Stegostoma tigrinum: one gene and its partner. The protein of the gene in region 1 purifies or fractionates together with the protein of each later gene. This does not show direct contact. Links are inferred from orthologs where the notes say so. Each region holds a gene or a part of one and is shown on either strand. Other genes may lie near its edges.

The links.
Region 2: the proteins of heterogeneous nuclear ribonucleoprotein R (region 1) and ilf2 purify together in Homo sapiens (affinity purification with mass spectrometry; 3 studies listed by BioGRID and IntAct, counting the BioPlex papers as one, with this or other methods). This does not show direct contact. The link is inferred for Stegostoma tigrinum from reciprocal best matches to the Homo sapiens genes HNRNPR and ILF2.

The regions. Positions count from the first base shown.
Region 1 is NC_081377.1:35,785,637-35,797,277, reverse strand, and holds the start of heterogeneous nuclear ribonucleoprotein R, read right to left. Parts: upstream 4,993-11,641; 5' UTR 4,780-4,992; intron 1-4,779. UniProt on the Homo sapiens protein: Component of ribonucleosomes, which are complexes of at least 20 other different heterogeneous nuclear ribonucleoproteins (hnRNP). hnRNP play an important role in processing of precursor mRNA in the nucleus.
Region 2 is NC_081400.1:1,948,364-1,958,938, reverse strand, and holds the start of ilf2 (interleukin enhancer-binding factor 2 homolog), read left to right. Parts: upstream 1-5,615; 5' UTR 5,616-5,693; intron 5,694-5,788; 5' UTR 5,789-5,831; intron 5,832-10,575. UniProt on the Homo sapiens protein: Chromatin-interacting protein that forms a stable heterodimer with interleukin enhancer-binding factor 3/ILF3 and plays a role in several biological processes including transcription, innate immunity or cell growth.

The DNA of each region.
Region 1 (11,641 bases):
CAGTAGGGGTCCTCTGATCTTGGAAGTCAGGCACCTGATCAAATTTGCAGTGAGTAAGCTCACTGTTAAAAATTCAGTTGGAACAATGCCCGACCTGATGGTGCTTGATGCTGGTACTTGGAACAGAGGAAAAATCTTCCAGTACAGTTATTTCAGCAAAGATGCATCCAAAGCAGTTATTAACCCTTACAGTAATAATGTAATGTAAAATAAATCTCATTACCCCTGCGATCACTCACAGTGACAAGCAGAAACAATTGATTACTAATTCACTACAAATGCTAATACTCAATGTTTACAAGTTAAAGATCCGAGACAGCAGGATTTTAATTCCATCTCAAATACTATAATTCCAAATTGAAACAAGAATATTTCAGAATGAATGCCTGTTTCAAAAGAGCTTTTTTTACCCCCTCAAATGAATGCAAATGTAAAAGGCACTACAAATCTTAACACAAATGCATTCCTTACAGCTACCAAATCCCTTACAAACAGTGTTGCTCCAGTGTTGTTTTGAAAATGCTCATGCAGGTCAACAAGGGCAGTCAAAAGTGAAGGTGGAGCCATTTAGGATCCAAAAGGAAATCACCTTCAACTGGTAGAAACCATGACTAAAGTACTGAATGTGTACTCTGCAACTATTGGTGAAACCGATCTTCTCTTCAAATGAGAACAGCAACACCAGCACAGTAAAAGATGGTTAGAACAAATTCTACAAAATAGATTAAAAAAAAGGAGAGATTCTTAAAACACTATCAACTGGAACTGAAGACACCGCCCCAAACAGATAGGGCACACATTACTGCAAGAAGTAGTAAAAACAGAAGTTATTCTGGCACTCTCTCTCACTCATCCCTCGGTATGAAAATGGTGCCAAAAGCCTGAAAGGCTGTAAAGGTTATGTATGCACTCATAAAAAGATGAAACCGGCAACTGCAAGACAGTCAACCTAATAGCAGTTGTTGGGAAAATAAATTTCCACAAGGGAAAAGTATGTAATAATTAATCGCAGCCAGCACAGTTTTGTAAAAGACCATGCTGGCTTAAAGACATGACCAAATTTTTTCAATGCAATATGAAGAGAATTGGTGAAGGTACAGCAGCTAATTCCATGAACTTCCAAAACAAGTTAAATGTAATGCTGCAAAATACCTGGCAAGCAGAAGTTAAGCACTTGAGGTTGCAAGGGATATGACCAGAATGTGCATACTCTGGCTCAAAGGTAGAAAGCAAAGTTGCATTTTTAGGTTGGAAGGAAGCATACAATGGGTCCCTCAATCATCACTACTAAATTAATGCATGGCCATGTCTGCACGTGTGTGTGCACACGTGTGTGTGTGTGTGTGTGTGTGTGTGTGTGTGTGTGTGTGTGTGTGTGTGTGTGTGTGTGTGTGTGTGTGTGTGTGTGTGTGTGTGTGTGTGTGGGGGGGGGGGGGTGTCTGTGGAGGGAATTTCAAAGTCTCCAAATTTTGACCAATAATGGAAATAATGAACAGCAAACAGAACAGTCAACAACTTCAAGGGGACAATGACTAGTAAAATGGGCAAACAAAACAGCATGCAAAGTTTAAATACAAACTGAAAGAACTGCAGATGCTATAAATCAGGAACAAAAGCAGACGTTTGGAGGAAGAGTCACTAGACCCGAAACATTTGCTCTGATTTTTTCGCAAAATTTAAAGATACAGGCATTCATTTAGAGGAAAAATTAGATGATAAATGATACAACCTGGAACAGAATGCAGGAAGAGAGGTCTCAAAGCGGGCTTGACAAGCTGGTGTTTTGGAGTTCCTTGTTTTTAAGGAGTACAATAACAAAAATGGTATATTGAAACCTTTAAAAATAACCATGACCAGCCCTCAGCTAGAGTTGGGTATCTAATGTTAGGTGCCACATTTCAGGGAAGAATGCCAAGGTCTTTGAAAGGATGCAGAGATTTATAAGGATAGTATCAGGAATGAGGGACTTCAATTATGCGGACAGGCTCAAAAAACTGGGATTGTCTTCTTAAAGCAAAGAATGTTTAAGGGAAATCGGATACAAAATGTTCAAAGTAGTAGATTTGCCAACTTTAGGTACATTTAAGTCGTCATTGGATAAGCATATGGACGTACGTGGAATAGTGTAGGTTAGATGGGCTTCAGATCATTATGACAGGACGGCACAACATCAAGGGCCAAAGGGCCTGTACTGTGCTGTAATGTTCTATGTACAAGCAGGTCAACAGCACAAATGAGGGAAATCCCAAACAGCAAAGTTGATAAACAGAAGACAGAGATGAAAATGTGGAACTTTTAAAATCATAAAGGGACAGGGGGAAAAAAGGCCAAGGGAGGTAAAATGGGAAGCCCTTTCAAAAAACAGATACCACATGCATAACTGTCCACTTACTTTCTGAGCTACACCATAAATGAATTGAGGAAGAGGTATAACCATGTAAAGAACAATGGGATCTCCAAGTATAAAGTCATTTGCTTACTGGGAGGGGAATGCTTGCATAAACTAAATTTAACTACAGTACTCACACTTCATTTGCATAAGTTTTTTTTAAGATACTAAGCAGTTAACACAATTATTAACTGCTATAATGCACAAAGCACACATGCAGGGTATTATGAACAAACCAGCTCCGGCTTAAGTACACCACAGAATAATTTATGAGCTTCAGGAAACTTAAACAGAAACAATTTTCTTATAATTTGCATTGATAACACTTCAACAACCTCAAGATGTCTTAAAGCTTATCAAGGCCAGTTGATCAGAGATAACGGGAACTGCAGATGCTGGAGAATCCAAGATAACAAAGCGTGGGGCTGGATGAACACAGCAGGCCAAGCAGCATCTTAGGAACACAAAAGCTGACATTTGGGCCTAGACCCTTTCTAGACCCACATTTCATTATCAAGGCCAGTTGATTACTCATGATGACACAATCACATAGGGGAAAGTATGGCTTCCAATGATTGTTCTTTCAACAATGTATGGATTGACCACTACTGTTTAAGTGATTTAAAAAGAATGTTCCAAATGATGACAAATTGAATGCTCAAATGTGTGCATTACTACTCAAGCTATTGCAACAAGTACACAGCTTCCCAAAGCTTAACAAATGCAATCTGTACCATGGACAAACATGCAACTTGGAATTCATACAATCCAATTCAATGAAATCTTTATGAAATATATTGCATGGTAATTCAGATTGAACTCTCCAGACTAAAATTAAATTATTTAAAATGAGAAAACCTAGCTTTCAACACCAACGCCAGTAATACAGCAGAAATTGCAAAAATTCTCGTCTCCAAATGTGCCGTAATCAAGAACCAATCATTGGCAATTTCAAGAGATTCCATTTAAAAACTCCAAGCTTCAAACAAACTTGTAGGTAGTATCACATACATATCAACATAAACCTTTCAGGAGATTCATCCACTGCCTAAGCTAAGTGAAACACAGCAAGTACACAATCTTTCAAAAAAAACCAACACAAATTAGAAATCCCAATCATCATGGAAAGCCCATTGTTCTACCCTTATCCAAATCCTCTTTGTTGTACCCTAGATCGATGGAAATCACTTTCAAAGCAAGTAATTTTTAAGATTTTTCAAGGCGGGGGGGAGGAGGTGGAGAGATACATTTGAACTTTAAAGCACAGTAGTCAACTCATAACCTGCGCAGACAGCAAAAGCTTTTAGGACAAAAAGATTCCATTCAATGCTACAAGTCTCCCGACACATCTACGACCAAAAAGCCACTCGCTCTTATCACGAAGCCAAACTAGTTAATCCACGTGTACTAAAATGTTCAGCTCGGCCATGCGTCAACTCGGCACAACAATGGCCGGGCCACATGTTGCATCAACAGTAATCGAGCAAAGAAAAAAACTGTAATAGATAAAAACAAATATTTAAAAATGGAAATATTCAACAAGCACATTGAAAACTGAACTATTCTCTGCTAGAAGGGGAGGTGGGGAAGAGAGATGTGCAGGAAGTGTGCATGAAGCTTAATACTTAGGCTCTACTGCGTTTGCAACTATGGAAAAAAAATTAAAAATAACATTTGACAGCATCACGCAAATCTGATCCCGTGTGGCTTTTTTTTGAAAATAAAGCGTCGTTTGTCCTGAGTTAGGAAGACCAGGCGCCTTGAAGGAGAGCGAAATAAATAGGCGAAGTGAATATAAGCCCGAAGCGCCGGGGCCGTGCATACATTTAAAATTACAACAAAAGAACAAAAGCCCGGGTGGCGAGAATGAATATAAAAGTACACAGGGTCGCGGCGGGACCAGGAACACTGTAAGGCAATCCAAACGAAGAGGGAATAAAACGGGAGGCTGGAGTGGGAATTGGAGAGAGAGGGCCGAGGCCTTTCATTTTGAGCTTCCCAACAACAGCATCCACCCCTATCCCACCCCCCACCACCCACCAAACCTCGTCCTGTCCTCTCCCCTCCCCCTCTCTCCCGAAGCCCAGCTCCGAAAATGCCGCGGGTCCGACGGGCGTCGACAATCACTGGCGAATCGCAATAAAACCCGCGGGCTATAACTCCCTCCTTTCTCACCCCATCAAGGAAATAAAATCACACGCTCGGGCGCTCATACAGAGACCACCACCTGCTTCCCCCGCCCCCCCGGAAGGGGAAAAAGGGACAAAGTGCCGGGGCTGCGGCCTAGCGGGGCACAGTGAAGGCTCCGCGGGCTTCTGCTTCAACCCGCGGCCCCGGCTTTACAAACACACTCCTTCCCGCCGCCGAGCACCCCCGGCCTACCCCCTCACCTTACTCTCGGGGCTGCCGGTGCGATGCGGTTCGGTTCAGCTCCGCCACCCCGTTCCCGCGCTCCGACGGATTGATGTTTTAACGATCTATTTTATTTATTTATTTCCCTCGCCCTCTCCTCCCTCGCTCTGGTGGATCTCGCTAAAATGGCCGCGGCCGCCTCATGGATCCCGCTCCCGGCGCCGCACGGGGTTTCCCGGCCGCGGTCGCACGGTACGGGCCCCGCCCACCGTCACCCCGGGCAACGGCCGCCCCGCAACCGGCTGGCCAATCGCAAATCCCCACAGGAAAGGTTTGGCTGGGGGGGTGGTGTTTGTGTGAAGGGGAGGGGCTTTGTCCAATAGGATGCCGTGTTAGGAGGAAGTCGATGAAGGAGGACGGGGTATGAGTGATCAGGGATAATGGGAACTGCAGATGCTGGAGATTCCAAGATAACAAAGTGTGAGGCTGGATGAACACAGCAGGACAAGCAGCATCTCAGGAGCACAAAAAGCTGACGTTTCGGGCCTAGACCCTTCATCAGAGAGGGGGATGGGATGAGGGAACTGGAATAAATAGGGAGAGAGGGGGAGGCGGACCGAAGATGGAGAGAAAAAGAAGATAGGTAGAGAGGAGAGTATAGATGGGGAGGAGAGTATAGATGGGGAGGGGAATATCCGCCCCAGAGAATCCCCCTCGTTCTCACACACCACCCCACCAACCTTCGGATACAACGCATCATCCTCCGACACTTCCGCCATCTACAATTGTAACTGATGTCCATTTCAAGCCCACCGACTCCCACAGCTACCTAGAATACACCTTCTCCCAACCACCCTCCTGCAAAAATTCCATCCCCTATTCCCAATTCCTCCGCCTCCGCCGCATCTGCTCCCACGATGAGGCATTTCACTCCCGCACAGCCCAGATGTCCAAGTTCTTCAAGGACCACAACTTCCCCCCCACGGTGATCGAGAACGCCCTTGACTGCGTCTCCCACATTTCCCGCAACACATCCCTCACACCCCGCCCCCGCCACAACCGCCCAAAGAGGATCCCCCTCGTTCTCACACACCACCCTACCAACCTCTGGATACAACGCATCATCCTCCGACACTTCCGCCATCTACAATCCGACCCCACCACCCAAGACATTTTTCCATCCCCTCCCCTGTCTGCTTTCCGGAGAGACCACTCTTTCCGTGACTCCCTTGTTCGCTCCACACTGCCCTCCAACCCCACCACACCCGGCCCCTTCCCCTGCAACCGCAGGAAATGCTACACTTGACCCCACACCTCCTCCCTCACCCCCATCCCAGGCCCCAAGATGACCTTCCATATTAAGCAGATGTTCACCTGCACATCTGCCAATATGGTATACTGTATTCACTGTACCCGGTGTGGCTTCCTCTACATTGGGGAAACCAAGTGGAGGCTTGGGAACCGCTTTGCAGAATACCTCCGCTCGGTTCGCAATAAACAACTGCACCTCCCAGTCACGAACTATTTCAAATCCCCCTCCCATTCTTTAGATGACATGTCAGTCATGGGTCTCCTGCAGTGCCACAACGATGCCACCCGAAGGTTGCAGTAACAGCAACTCCTATTCTGCTAGGGAACCCTGCAGCCCAATGGTATCAATGTGAACTTCACAAGCTTTAAAAATCTCCCCTTCCCCCACCGCCTCCCAAAACCAGCCCAGCTCGTCCCTGCCTCCCTAACCTGTTCTTCCTCTCACCTATCCCCTGCTCCCACCTCAAGCTGCACCTCCATTTCCTACCTACTAACCTCATCCCGCCTCCTTGATCTATCCATCCTCCCCAATCTCTCTCCCCCCCCCCCCACCTATACACTCCTCTCCACTTATCTTCTCCTCTATCCATCTTTGATCCGCCTCCCCCTCTCTCCCTATTTATTTCAGAACCCTCTCCGAAGAAGAGTCTAGGCCCAAAACATCAGCTTTTGTGCTCCAAAGATGCTGCTTGGCCTGCTGTGTACATCCAGCTCTGCACTTTGTTATCTAGGAGTTCCATGGTGAATGGTAGGGCCTTAAGGACTGCAGTGGAACAGAGAGACCTTGGAGTTCAGGTGCAAGGTTCTCTGAAAGTGGAATCACAGATAGTCAGGGCAGTGAAGGCAGCTCTGGGCACACTGGCTTTGATCAGTCAGGGCACTGAGTGGAGAAATTGGGAAGTTATAGTGCAGTTGTACATGACATTCATGAGACCACACTTGGTATTATGTTCAGTTTTGGTCACCTTGCTGTAAGAAGAATGTTATTAAACCTGAAAAAGTGCAGAAAAAATTTAGACTGAGTTATATGGAGGGTTTGGACAAGTTAGGACATTTGTCTTGAGAGAGTAAGAGACTGAGGGGAGGGGAATCTTACAGCAGTGTAAAAGATCATGAGAGGCATGGATAGGGTGAACGCACTAAATCTTTTTCCTAGGGTTGGGGAATAGAGGACTAGAGGGCATCAGTTTAAGGTAAGGGGGGGGAAAAAAGGGAACCTGAGGGGCAATGTTTTACACAAGGTGGAATATGCCCCCAGCAGAAGTAGTTGAGGTGGGTACAATTAACTTTTAAAAGACGTTTGGACAAATACATGGATAGGAAAAGTTTACAAGGAAAAGGGCCAAGTGCTGGAAAATGAGGTTAGTGTGGATGGACATTTTAGTCAGCATGGACAAGTTTGGGCCAAAGAGTCTGTCTCCATGTTGTAGGACTCTGATCGGGTGTCCTGACTGGGGGAGATGGAATGGAGAGGGCATCCTTACTTACTGGGGGAAGGAGGGTGCTGTCTGGTGCCTGAACTGAATGAGTACTGTCTTCTGAAATTGTGTGTATATCAGTGAATTGGAGGGTAGTTGAGGGAGTGTGGAGATTGGTTAGGGATATAGAGATGTGCTGGCTGGGGTGTGGCGGTAGTGCAGATTGGGGAGAAGAAAGGAAGAAATAGTTTCAAAAGAAAAAAAAAGGCCTATTTTTGTTTCAAAGATATAGATGTCACGACCTAGGGCAGCATTTATTGCTTATCCTTAATTGTCCAGAAAGCAGTTAAGAGACCATAAGACATAAAAGACAAGAGACAACCACATTGCTGTGGGTCTGGAGTCACATGTAGGTCAGACCAGGTAATAACATAAGAAATAGGAGCAGGAATAGGCCTTGATCTGTCAAGACGACTGCTCAAGATGATCATGTATGGCTGATCTTTTCATTATTTCGCTCCACTTGCGCACCTGCTCACCGTAACTCTCAATTCTTTTACAGTTCAAAGTTCTAATCAGTCCTGCTGCTTCATTATTTTCAACACCTTGATTAAATCTACCTTCAGTCCCTCAATTTCAGTTAAAACAACCCAGCTTTTCCAAGATAACAAAGTGTGGAGCTGGATAAACACAGCAGCCAAGCAGCATTTTAGGAGCACAAAAGCTGACGTTTCGGGCCTGGATCCTTCATCAGGAAAGGGGGGGGGGGGTGGGGAGGGGGGATCGAAGATGGATAGGAGAAGAAGATAAGGTGGAGAAGAGACAGAAAAGTTAAGCAGTGGCAGAGAGATCCCCTGAGGCTTGTCCAGAGGGAGGAGGGTAACTTCTTCAGGCTAGGCATCCCTAGAAGAGGCTTCGCAGCTTTTCCAATTCTGGCAACATTCTAATACACATCTATTCTCTCCAGTATAATTTCATTCTCCTTGTAATAGAGTGACAAGAACTGTATGCAATGATGTAGTTATGATCTAACAATTGTTTTATGCAGTGCTTCCTAATTTTATATTCTATACCTCATATAATGAAGGGAAATATCATATGGTTTCATAACCACTTTCAGACATCTGGGATATACACATGTAGTACATGGTCTCTCTAAAGATCTCGTGTCCCATTATTTATCCCATATTATGAATACTGCAGCAAATAATCCATAGTATAGTATAGTATAGTATCCCTACTGTGGAGAAACAGGCCCTTCAGCCCAACAAGTCCACACCAACCCTCCTACCCAATCCCATTTCCCAAACTCACCTAATCTACACATTCCTAAAATTTAGCATGGCCAGTCCACCTAGTCTGCACATGTTTGGACTGTGGGAGGAAACCAAAGCACCCAGAGGAAACCCACGCAGACAGGGGTAGAATGTGCAAACTCCCACTGACAGTCGCCTGAGGGGGCCCCTGGCACTGTGAGGCAGCAGTGCTAACCACTGATCCACCGTGCCATCCAAATTCACCACCTGACTCCTCAAAGCCTGTCTACCAACTACAACACGCACAAGTCAGGAGTCTGATGGAATAAACCCAACTTGCTTGGATGAGAGCAACTCCAACAACACTCAAGAAACTTGTCACCATCCAGGACAAAAGAGCCTGTTGGATTGGCACCACAGCCACTAGCATCCACTCCCACCATCATAAACACTCAGTAGCAGCAGTGTGTATCATATACAAGATGTACTGCAGAAATTTATTCAAGATTCTCAACAGTACTTTCCACGACCACTTCCATCTTGAAGGACAAGGGCAATAGATACACACCACTGCCTTAAAGTTCCCCTCCAAGCCACTCACCATCCAGACTTGGAAATATATTGCTGTTCATTCATTTTTCCACTTGGTCAAACTCCTGCAGTTCCCTGCCTAACAGCACTGTAGGTCTAACCCCAGCAGGTGGACTGCAGCAGTTCAAGAAGGCAACTTACCACCATCTTCTCAAGGGTATTATACTTCCTTCACAGATAGTAGGAACTGCACTCGCTGGAGAATCAGATAAGAAAGTGTGGAGCTGGATGAACACAGCAGGCCAAGCAGCATCAGAGGAGCAGGAAGACTGACGTTCCAGGCCTATTTCCTTGTCTTGTTAACCTTCTACAATACATTTCTAAGGATTAAATATCATTTGTCACTTTGCTATCTTATCAACAATCAATATTTTAGGTTCCTGCAGTCCAATGCTTCTTCTTTGGTACCCATGAAGAGCAAGAAACCCTATGCGAAGCCCAATAACATGACAGGAAACAACTGTACAGCTACAAAAGCACTTAATGAATATTACTTTTTGTTAGCAGTCAATTTTGAATCAACGTGTCAATTTATCATAGATTCCACGGCATTTCGATTTTCATATGAAATCTATGTATCACAAGGATTACCCCAATCCAACCTCCTCATACCAACTCAAAAATTCAGTAATTAATTAGGATCATTCCTTAACAAATCTATTTCGATTATCCATGATTAATCCATCTTTTTCTAAATGATGAGTTTATTCAATCATACTGAATTTTTCCAGTAACAGGTTAGCATGTCTGGTTTGTAATTGCTTAATGTATCCCTTCACTCTCAACAATGTGAGCAGTAGCTCCTCCAGTTCTCTTGCTAAGCCTGTAGCCAGAAGAAAATGAAAAATGATGATTAGTCTGTTTTGCATCTTGCAAACTTCCACAAGACCATAAGAAACAGGAACAAGAGCAGGCTGTTGGGCTTCTCAAGCCTGCGCTATCATTCAGAACAATCATTGCTAGAACATAATGGCATAGTACAGGCCCTTCGGCCCTTGATGTTGCGTGACCAATGAAATCAATCTGAAGCCCATCCAACCTACACTATTCCATTATCATCCAAATGTTTATCCAATGACAGTTTAAATGCCCTTAAAATTGGCGAGTCTACTATTGTTGCAAGCAGGACATTCCACGCCCTTACTACTCTGAGTAAAGAACCTACCTCTGACATCTGTCGTATATCTATCACCCCTCAATTTAAAGCTATGTCCCCTTGTGTTAGCCATCACCATCCGAGGAAAAAGGCTCTCACTGTCCAGTTTTCTATCTTTTCTCCATAACCCTTGATTCCTTTGGTGGACAAGAATCAGTGTCTCTCAGTCTGAAATCTACACAAGGGCACTTCCCCCACAGCTGTCAACAGCAAGGAAGTCCAAAGATGCTCAACCCTCAAACAGAAGAAATCTCTCCTCAAATCAATCTTAAATTGATGGTCCTTTATTTCTGAGACTATGCGCTCTCGTCCTTTACTCTGCTACTCGGGGAAACGTCATCTCAGCATGTACCCTGTAAAGCCTCTAAACAATCCTATATATTTCACCAAGATCACCTTTCATCTTAGCAACCCGATCACACTAGTGAACATTCCCTGAAATGTCTCCAATCAAGTGATATTAGAAATCCTTGTGTTGTGTCTGCTGATATGCTCCTGAGGGATGCTACCATCCTCACTGATTAGCTAAGCTTGATCTCCTCTACAAATTTTGGAACTGTACCTCAACCCCAACAGAGATGGTGACATTAACAGCAAAGTAATTTGACAAGCAATCCAGAGGCCCAGGCGAATACTCTAGGATACAAATCCCACCATCCGCTAGTACAATTTAAATTCACTGAATAAAATCTGGAATATCAAACTGGTCCTCACTGACGGTGACAATGAAAACTATCAATTGTGATAAAAATCAATCTGGCCTACTAATGTCCTTTTAAATAAGAAGTCACAAGACACCAGGTTACAGTTCAAAAAGGTTTGTTCAAAATGACAAGCTTTAGAAGCACAGCTCCTTCATCAGGTGAAGTCACCTTTACCTGATGAAGGATCAGTGCTCTTAAAAACTTGTGATTTCAGGTAAACTTGTTGGACGGTAACCTGGTGTCATGCGACTTCTGACTTTGTCCAACCTTGTCTAATACCGGCACTTCCACATCAGTGTCCTTCTAGGCAAGGTAATTTTCCATGCCAACTTGGTCCGGCCTATATTTGATTGCCCACCTACAGAAATACGTTAACTTTTAACTGCCCTCTGAAATGGCCTAGCAAGACACTCAGTTCAAGGGCAATTTGAATGGGCAACAAACAACGATGTCTATATCCCATG
Region 2 (10,575 bases), on another chromosome or scaffold:
TTGGGGAAACCAAGCGGAGGCTTGGGGACCGCTTTGCAGAACACCTCCGCTCAGTTCGCAACAAACAACTGCACCTCCCAGTCGCGAACCATTTCCAGTTCCCCTCCCATTCTCTTGATGACATGTCCATCATGGGCCTCCTGCACTGCCACAATGATGCCACCCGAAGGTTGCAGGAACAGCAACTCATATTCCGCCTGGGAACCCTGCAGCCATATGGTATCAATGTGGACTTCACCAGTTTCAAAATCTCCCCTTCCCCTACTGCATCCCTAAACCAGCCCAGTTCGTCCCCTCCCCCCACTGCACCACACAACCAGCCCAGCTCTTCCCCCCCCACCCACTGCATCCCAAAACCAGTCCAACCTGTCTCTGCCTCCCTAACCGGTTCTTCCTCTCACCCATCCCTTCCTCCCACCCCCAGCCGCACCCCCAGCTACCTACTAACCTCATCCCACCTCCTTGACCTGTCCGTCTTCCCTGGACTGACCTATCCCCTCCCTACCTCCCCACCTACACCCTCTCCACCTATCTTCTTTGCTCTCCATCTTCGGTCCGCCTCCCCCTCTCTCCCTATTTATTCCAGTTCCCTCCCCCCATCCCCCTCTCTGATGAAGGGTCTAGGCCCGAAACGTCAGCTTTTGTGCTCCTGAGATGCTGCTTGGCCTGCTGTGTTCATCCAGCCTCACATTTTATTAACTATATAAATACCATGGTTACAAAAGCAGGTCAGAGGCTAGGAATCCTGCAGCGAGTAACTTGCCACCTGACTCCCCAAAGCCTGTCCCACCATCGATGAGGCATAAGCCAGATGTGTGATGGAATATTCCTCGCTTGCTTTGGTGAGTGCAGCCCTGACGACACTCAAGAAGCTCAGCAACATCCAGGGCAAAGCATCAACTTTATTGGTACTATATACAGAAGCATTCACTCCCTCCACCACCGACGCTCAGTAGCAGCAGTGTGTACCATCTACGAGATGCACTGCAGAAATGATCATCTAAAGGACAAGGGCTGCATGTACTCGGGAACACTACCCCCTGCAAGTTTTCCTCCAAGCCACTCCCCATCCCGACTTGGAAATATATCAACGTTCCTTTGTTTCTGGGTCAAAATCCAGGAATTCCTTCCCTAAGGGCATTATGGGTCTACCTCCAGCACGTGGACCAGCTCACTGCCACCTTCTCAAGGGCAGCAAATGTTGGCCCAACCTGTGTGCTGTGAGTGAATAAAAATACCAACTGAAATGAGCACAGAGTGCTGGAGAAACTCATCAGGTCTGGCGGCATCTGTGGAGAGAAAGCAGAGCCAATGTTTGAGTCCAGAATATCTTGTCCTCAGAACTGAGCCATGCTAGACTTAAACAGAAATTGCTGGTGAAACTTAGCAGGTTTGGCAGCATTTTATGGAGAGAAAGCAGAGGCAAAGTTTCAATCCAGTGATCTTTCTTCAGAATCACTTTGCAGAAAGGTCATTGGGCCCAAATCATTGACTCTTTCTGTCCACGGATGCTGCTAGACCTGCTGAGTTTCGCCAGCACTTTCTGTTTTTGTTTCAGATTTACAGCATCCACAGTTTTTATGTTTTGTCTTTCACACTGGACTTCTTGGGCTGAATGGCCTACTTCTGCTACTGTGTCTTCTCTTCAAACCGGGCTGATGGGGGTTAGCTACAGATCAGCCATTGATCTAATAATGGAGAGATAGAGTTGTTAATTTGGTGCAAATCTTACGGAAGTAAAATTCTGCAGATGTTGGAAATCTTAAACAAATACAAAGAGTAGCAGAGTTGCCCTGGGCTCACAATGGTAACTGTGTTCCTCATTGCACAAATGCTGCCAGACCTGCTGACTTTCTCCACCGTTCCCTGTGTTTGTTACAGATTTTCAGCATCTGCAATGTTGCTATTATTTTAACATTTACACCTGTTTTACTCTGATTCCCCTTTACCTCATTGTCACTGCCTTTGTCTTTGGTCTGCATCACTTTTTCCATCTATTCCACTTGCTTTGTTTACAGCATAAAGCCATCATTTTCCAGCTCCTTTCAGTTTTGAAGAATAGCTGACCTGGACTCTGAAATGTTAACTGTGTTTCTATCTCCACAGCGGCTGCCAGACTTGATGAGATTCTACAGCATTGTGTTTGTTTCAGATTCACAGCATTTTGCTTTTCTAAAACTGACAAAGTCCTCTCTCTCTTTCATCTCTTAAAATTAATTAATGCCCTCTTGCTCACCCTGTTATTTGTCTTTTTCTGCTCGGAGAGCCGTGGTGGAGTTGTCACTGTGTGATAAGTATGGGCACCACATGGCTTTCGCATTGCCTCCCCTCTGGAATTCAGACTGCTTTGTCCACGTTTGGACATGTTTCGGAGATGGGGACCCTGTCAGAACTCAAACCTAACAGCAGTTATTGTCGAGTAAGTTAGTGCAGGTTGACAGCATTGTCGAAGACCTATTTTGGTGGTCCATCTTTGATGGCTGTGCTTTCATCTGCTTTGCTCCAAGCTCTGGAATTTGCTTTCCTTAAACCTCCCTGGTCTTCTCCCTTTAACACTGTTCTTAACACCTGTCTTTCCTATTGTGTCACCTACTTCCTTGGGAGCCTTGGCTTCTAATCTTGTCACAATCTCTCACTATGAAGCACTGTGGATTTTATCAAAAATTAAAACTGCTATGTCAACAATGTTGTTGTAAAGGTGCAGTGTAATAGTAGATGAGCTGTTAGATGACCTTGCTGAAGTCAAATAGTCGTTCTTTCAGCATCGTATTCTCTCAAACATTCAGAAATGTCAACGGCAAATTAAGTTACTTGACAGGCATGTGAATGTACCAAGGTTGTTGTTAATTTCCATGATTGGGGAAATGTTATAAAACAGCAGCTCTGTGAATTGTATACCTAATCATCTGGACTGTTGAGGCAGTGCAGCCTTGTTAATGAAGATCTCATTCTCAGTTAAGCACAATTCCAGGTAGCAAACCTTTTTGACTTCTGTTTTAAATGTAACCCCCTGGAATAAGTCACCTTGGCTTTTGGCGTTACTTCTATTTTGCTTTGAATTTAGTACTTGCCTTTAGCCTTTTGAGAGTTTGGTGCGTTACAGCAAAAACAGCATTGACATTTGCAATTGTCTACATTACCCAGTTGTAACTGATATCAACACTCTAATCAATGCAGGTGTAGAGAAAATGTGCAAAATTACAAAGGTCATGGTACTCACAGGAACATGTCTAGGTTCTCCATATTGGCCCTGAGGGATGGATGCTTGTGGTATAAGCACCAGTGATTAAAAATCTGCATTTTTGGGGCATTAATACATCTTACAGTAGATTTAATTGGATTAATAGAGATCAAATCATCCAATGGCAATGGATACCTATTGAATATAAATTTCCAGATTATAATCTGGATAAAGATGAGAAATTTCATTATAAGGAGGGTTAATTGTGTGTTGAATGCCCTACCAAAATATGGGTGTAAGCAGCTTTTTTGAAGGGAAGTTGTGTTATAATACAGATGGGCATGAGCTGGCACAGGCAGGCTGAATGTTGTGTCTGTGCTGTCACATTGAATAATTCTGAGATCCCCAAAGCAGGACGCTGTTGCAGAAAATTTTCGACATGAATGCGCAAAATTCCTATCTCAAAACCACATTTGAATGTGGCATTGATGATGCCCACGGTTAATTCTAGTGAAGACAGTGTATGTTGTACCCACAACCTGCCGCAAGGTTGGCAGTTTTCACTGTGTCAGGAGCAAGGCACAAAGCTGGAACACAAACACACACTCTGGTTACATTGCAAGAATTTAACCTGTTCTGAGAACTCCTTCCTCATTCCTCCAGAGTTTTGCTTCTCAGCCTTTCCCATTTAGTATCGGCTGTGATGAAGTGAGCAGAACTGTTGCCTTGAGGTCAGAACGTTGTGGGTTCAAATTCCACTTCAACACTTGTAAGTCCCTGTGCAACACTGAGGGGTGCTACGCTGTCGGAGGTACTGTCTGTGGATGAGACATCAAAAACAAGGGCCGATCAACCCCCTCATGTTGATATTGAAGATTCTCTGTCATTACTTTGACGAAGAGCAGGGAAATTATCCTGGTGTCCACACTGTCAACCTTGCACAAGCAGCTTGTTATCGCATAGCTAATTGTAGGAGTACATTTGACTTAAATTGAATGCCATATTTTAATAATGCACTTCATTTCAAACATACTTCATGGCTATAAAATACTACGGAGTGTTTGGCATTCATGAAAGGTGCTAGCCTTTTCCTTTTGGCTTTCTGGCAATGTGTCCTATTGATTTCCCCCCCCACACTGCTCTTGTATTGACCTGGAGTTTTCAGGATGGGACTCTGCACTTTTTTGTACACAGTGACTGCAGGCAGACCATTTACAGTCTGAACGCACGACACCATGGAGCAAATACTATGCACAGACAGCTCCCCTTCATGTTTAAAAAAAAACTGACTTTGAGAGCCAGTGAATTTCACCCTGGAAACTACAGATTAAGCTCACCTATTGGACATAGAATGCTAGGACGATGCAGGGACCTGGAGGGATAATGTTTTCACACAGAAGGTGGTGTATTTATGGAACCCAGGTGCCCAAGGAAGTGGTGGAGGCTGTACAATTACAACATTTAAAAGGCCATCCGCATGGGTATGCAAGTAGGAAAGGTTTAGAGGGATATGGGCTGTCTTTTTCTCTAAGGTGGGGGATTTCAAGACTGGGGGGATATATTTAAGGTGACATGAGAAAGATTTAAAACACGTGAGAGGCAATTTTTTTTGGCTCTGTTTACACTAGTTCATATGTGGAATGAACTTGCACAGAAAGAGGTGGATGTGTGTACAGCTGCGACATTGAAATGACATTTGGATGAGTACATGAGTAGAATATGATGGGAGGGATATGGGCCAAGCACAGACAGGTGGAGCTAGTTTAGTTTGGGATTATGGTCAGCATGGATTAGTTGGACCAAAGGGTCTGTGTCTGTGTTCTATGACTGTGAAAGTAGGACTAGACAACTCGCAACTGGAACGTTCCAAGGAAATGTTTCTCAATGACATCCAATTAGACCCCCATTTAGGGAGGTTTGGAGGGGCTGGGGGAATGATTGGGACTCACCATCTATGGAACAATGACGAGTGAATGTAGGATAGTGTGAATGAAAATATAGGTGCAGAAGGTAAGTAGATGTTGATGTTTTGAGGGAAATTGAATGTTAACTGACATTATTTAAGCAGCAGAACAAAATAGTTGTCGGGGATTAATGTAATGACTTCAGCGTATGTAAACAAGATGGTTCGTGAGCTTAGACTGGCCACTTTTCCCAACATTTCCTTTGGGGACTTTAAGATTCTGTCCCTGTTATTGCTGTCTTCTAGATTTGATGCCAGCATCATTTTTGATCTGTGCTCTTTTTGTTTTCGTTACTTGTGACTGATTTTAAAAAGTTGCTTTTGAATCCAGGACTTGGCTTGTTTGGTATTTTTGGCCACATCCAGGATTCAGGAGCTTGGACACACTACGCCACAGACCACCTTAATGCTGTTTCCTTGGGGTTGCATGTTTTCCCCACCTACGGAGCTTGTATCTGTTTTAACTGCGCATTCATATGCTTTCTATTGCAGAGGCGACAGAGGACGTGGCCGTGGACGTTTTGGTGCAAGGGGTGGCCCAGTTGGGGGGTACGTGTCACGAGACAGTCGTTTGCTAAAGATTTTTTCTGTTACAATCCAGATTTTATTAATTTGAAACTTTTATTTCTCTCCAACGTAAACAGGTTCAGACCATTCGTTCCTCACATCCCATTCGACTTCTATGTGGTAGGTGACAGTATCTTTTCTCAACACGTCACAGAGCACTGTGCAGCCGATGAGACAATTTTGACACCCAGTCATTGTTATATGTTAGCTAATTGTACACATTAAGCTGTATGGTAATGACTGGGTAAACTACAACAGGGAGTTGCTGGAGTGAATATTGACCTAGATGCCAGAGCCTGCCTTTGAGTGGTTACAATGGGCTCCTTTACCTCCACCTGAGAGTGGAGATGCCAGTGTTCGACTTGGGTAGACATAGTCAGAGATCACATGACACCAAGTAAGAGCCCCAACAGGAGATAGCAAGAACTGCAGGTGCTAGAGTCACAGTCCGAACAGGTTTATTTGAATCACAAGTTTCAAAACACTGCTCCTTCGTCAGTTGAAGTGGAAGGACCTGTACCGGCACAGAATTTATATGCAGAGAGATAATGGCAAGATAATTACAGGTAACTAAGAATGGTCATCCCCTCACTTGCTAGTCTGCTGTTGTCACTTCACTTACACCATTTAACACTTTTTTGATCACCTGCATAGAAATGTTATTCTGCTTGTCAATACTCTACTCACACACTATTGGGGAGCACTGTTGTGGGGAAATGTTAGCCCACTCAAGGACAGTGGAGTGAGTGTGTGTGTCTGTGTGTGTGTCTGTGTGTGTCCAGAAGAGGTCGGTGGAGAGGTCTTAAAAGATAACTCTGTACCAGTATTTGTGAAAGAGAAGTAATTGGAACAGGGGTGATCTCAGGGAACAGAGAGTCGCATTACTAAACCAAGTTGCTATTAAAAAAGAAGTGGTGATGTGTGTCTTAAAAAGTATTAAGATAGATAAGTCCTCTGGTCCTGGTGGGATCTATCACAGAATATTGAGGGAGGGAAGAAAGCCCGTCGCTGGACCACTGACAGGCATCTTTCTATCCTCTTTGGTGACAGGTGAGGTCCCAGAGGACTGGAGAATAACCATTGTTTAAAAAGCGTATTGGGGATAATCCAGGAAATTACAGGCCTCTAAGCCTCATGGTGGTAGGGAAATTAGTGCAATAGATTCTCAGGGTCAAGATCTATAAGCATTTAGAAGCAAATGGACTGACTAACACTCAACAGCATGGTTTTATGCAGGAGAGGCCGTGCCTCAATAACTGATTTGAATTTTTTGAGGAGGTGATGGAAATGATTGAGGGAAAAGTGGCTGAGGTTGTCTACATGGACTTCAGTAAAGCCTCTAACAAGGTCCCTCGTAGCAGACTGGTACAAAAGATGAAGTCACATGTTATTGAGGTGAGCTGGCAACATGGATACAGATCTGACTTAATGATTGGAGACAGGGTAGCAGTGGAAGAATGCTTTTCAGAAGGGAAGGTTGTGACTGGTGATGTTCCACAGGGATCACTGCTGGGACCTCTGCTTGCGATCTACATCAATGATTTGAAGGAAAACATAGCTGGTCTAATTAGTAAGTTTGCAGATTATAACAAAGATCGGTGGAATTGAGAATAGTGAGGAGGATTGTCAGAGGATACAGCAGGTTATAGATCATTCGGAGGTACGGGCAGAAAAATAGCAAATGCGTGTTTAATCCGGACAAATGCATTTTGGAAGGTCAAGTACAGGAACTTATACAGTGAATGGCAGAACCCTTAGGAGTATTGACATGCAGAGGGATCTTGCTGTGCAGATCCACAGATCACTAAGTGGCTGTGTACGTAGAAAGGTGGTTTAAAAAAGGCCTACAGCAGCGTGCTTGCTTTCTTTGGAAGGGGCGTTGACTACAAGGATAGTCAAGTTATGCTGCGGCTTTAGAGAAGTTTAGTTAGGCCATACCTAGAATATTGCTGACAATTCTGGTCCCCTCACTGCCAGAAAGATGTGGATGCTTTGGAAAGGAAATAGAAAAGGTTTGCTAGGATGTAGCCTGGAATGGGAATTTTAGCTATAAAGAAAGGTTGGATAGACTGGGCTTGTTTTCACTAGAATGCAGGAGGGCAGCTAGAAAGAAGTTCATAACATTGTGCATGGCCTAGATAGTGTGAAAAGAATGCGGTCTTTTCCCAGGGTGAAGGGGTCAATTACTAGAGATACAGATTCAAGGTACCATGGGGGTGTTCAAAAGAGATGTGTGAAAAATGTGCCTTGCACAAAAGTAGCATTCACGAATCACTTGAATGAATACAAGCATAGGAAGGGAATAGAGGGATATGGATCCTGTAAGTGAAGACCGTTCTAGTGTGGAACGGCAAAATGTGCTGGCGCAGGCTTGGAGGGCTGAAGGACCTGTTCCTGTGCTGGATTGTTCTTTGTTCTGTTGTACTTATCTTTTGATACTCTTAATTACCTTGAATTATCTTGTTGTTATATCTCCACGCATAAATTCTGTCCCAGTGCGCTTCCCTTCATGTCACCTGATGAAGGGGCTACACGCTGAAAGCTTGTGATTTCAAATAAACCTCTTGCACCATAACCTGGTGACAAGTAACTTCTGACTTTGTCCATCTGAAAGGGCAGGTGGGACCTTATTTTTACATTTCCCTTAAAGCTAGCGCCTCTGACACCACAGCCCTCCTTCAACTACCACACTGATTTGTTGGCCTGTATTTTGTCCTGATGTTCCTGGGCTGTGAACCCATGGCCTTTTGACTTGGGGGACAGTGCTCTGCGCTAATCCATGGCCGATGTACAGTGCTTGTTAAAGCTGGCACAGTGCATTGGCACCACCTGGGCTCCTCTGGTTATTCTGTTACATTCAAATGTCTGCCTGCTTCATTGGGCAATATGTAGGGTCCACTTGACCTCCATGAAAAGGAAAGTTGGGTTGTGTGTGTACTGTTGTTAGAGCAAGCATTTGGAGCTTTATATCTGCTCTGTAAATTCCACGAATTTGGTGCTTTGTAGCCTGACTTCCATTTGATGTTAAAGCTTGAGCGCATTGTTGAGACGAACACTCCACTGATGCCCGTTAGGCCAGACATTAAACCAAGGCACCTATTTGACTCGTTCAGTATAACATTCAAAGACTCAATGAGACTGTTCGGAAAGAAGCAGTGGTTTCTTGATCCATTGATTATTCTGTGAAAAAGCAGACTAAAGCAAGTTGTTGTAATGTTTTGTACATCAAGATAGCTGAATTTGGAGTGTAATTGATTAATGGGAGGTGTTTTTGAAATATTTGAATGTTTTATGTAGCATTTCTTTTGGTTAATGAGAAATAACTTGACACTGATGACTTGGTTGACTGTGGTCTGGTGAGAGTGGCAGCTTCTACCTTGTAAGACACCAGCTGGTTTAACCAGTTTGCTCCTGATGTTTACTTCGCTCAATCCACCTGCCTCACCTGGAGCAGTCAGAGTCATATAACATGGAAATAGACCCTTCGTCCAACTTGTCCTTGTTGACCAGATATACCAATCTGACCTAGTCCATTTGCAAGCATTTGGTTCATATCCCTGTAAACCCGTCTTATTCATATACCCGTCCAGATAACAAACGAATATTGTAATTGTACCCGCTCTGCCACTACCTCTGCCAGCTCATTCCATACACACACCACGCTTTGCGTTTTTAAAACAAGGTTATCCCTCAGGTACGTTCTAAATTCTTCCCCTCTCACCTTAAACCTATACTGTCGAGTTTTGGACTCCCCCCATGCTAGGAAAAAAGACCTTGGCTATTTGCCCTTTCTATGCCCCTCGTGACCTTATAAACATCTGCAAGTCACCCTTCAGGTGCCGATGGTCTGGAGAGAAAAACCCAGCATATTCAGTCTCTCCCTATAACTCATACCCTCTAGTCCCAGCAACATTCCTCTACATTGGGGAAACCAAGCGGAGGCTTGGGGACCGTTTTGCAGAACACCTCTGCTCGGTTTGCAATAAACAACTGCACCTCCCAGTTGCAAACCATTTCCACTCCCGCTCCCATTCTTAAGACAACATGTCCATCACGGGCCTCCTGCAGTGCCACAATGATGCCACCCAATGGTTGCAGGAACAGCAACTCATATTCCGCCTGGGAATCCTGCAGCCCAATGGTATCAATGTGGACTTCATCAGCTTCAAAATGTCCCCTTCCCCCACCACATCCCAAAACCAGCCCAGTTCGTCCCCTCCCCCCACTGCACCACACAACCAGCCCAGCTCTTCCCCTCCACCCACTGCATCCCAAAACCAGTCCAACCTGTCTCTCCCTCCCTAACCTGTTGTTCCTCTCACCCATCCCTTCCTCCCACCCCAAACCGCACCTCCATCTCCTACCTACTAACCTCATCCCACCTCCTTGACCTGTCCGTCTTCCCTGGACTGACCTATCCCCTCCCCACCTATACTCTCCTCTCCACCTATCTTCTTTTCTCTCCATCTTTGGTCCGCCTCCCCCTCTCTCCTTATATATTCCAGAACCCTCACCCCATCCCCCTCTCTGAAGGGTCTAGGCCTGAAACGTCAGCTTTTGTGCTCCCGAGATGCTGCTTGGCCTGCTGTGTTCATCCAGATTCACACTTTATTATCTAACATTCTTGTAAATCTTTACTGCACAATCTCAAGTTTAACAAATCCTTCCTATAGAAGGACGACCTGAACTGCGTGCAGTGTTTCAAAAATGACTTCACCGATGTCCTGTATAGCTGCAACGTGACATCCCAACTCTTGTCAGAGATAGTAAGGACTGCAGATGCTCGAATCAGAGGTAACTGCGTGCAGCTGGAGGAACGCAGCAGTCCGGGCAGCATCAGAGGAGCAGGAAAGTTGACGTTGCA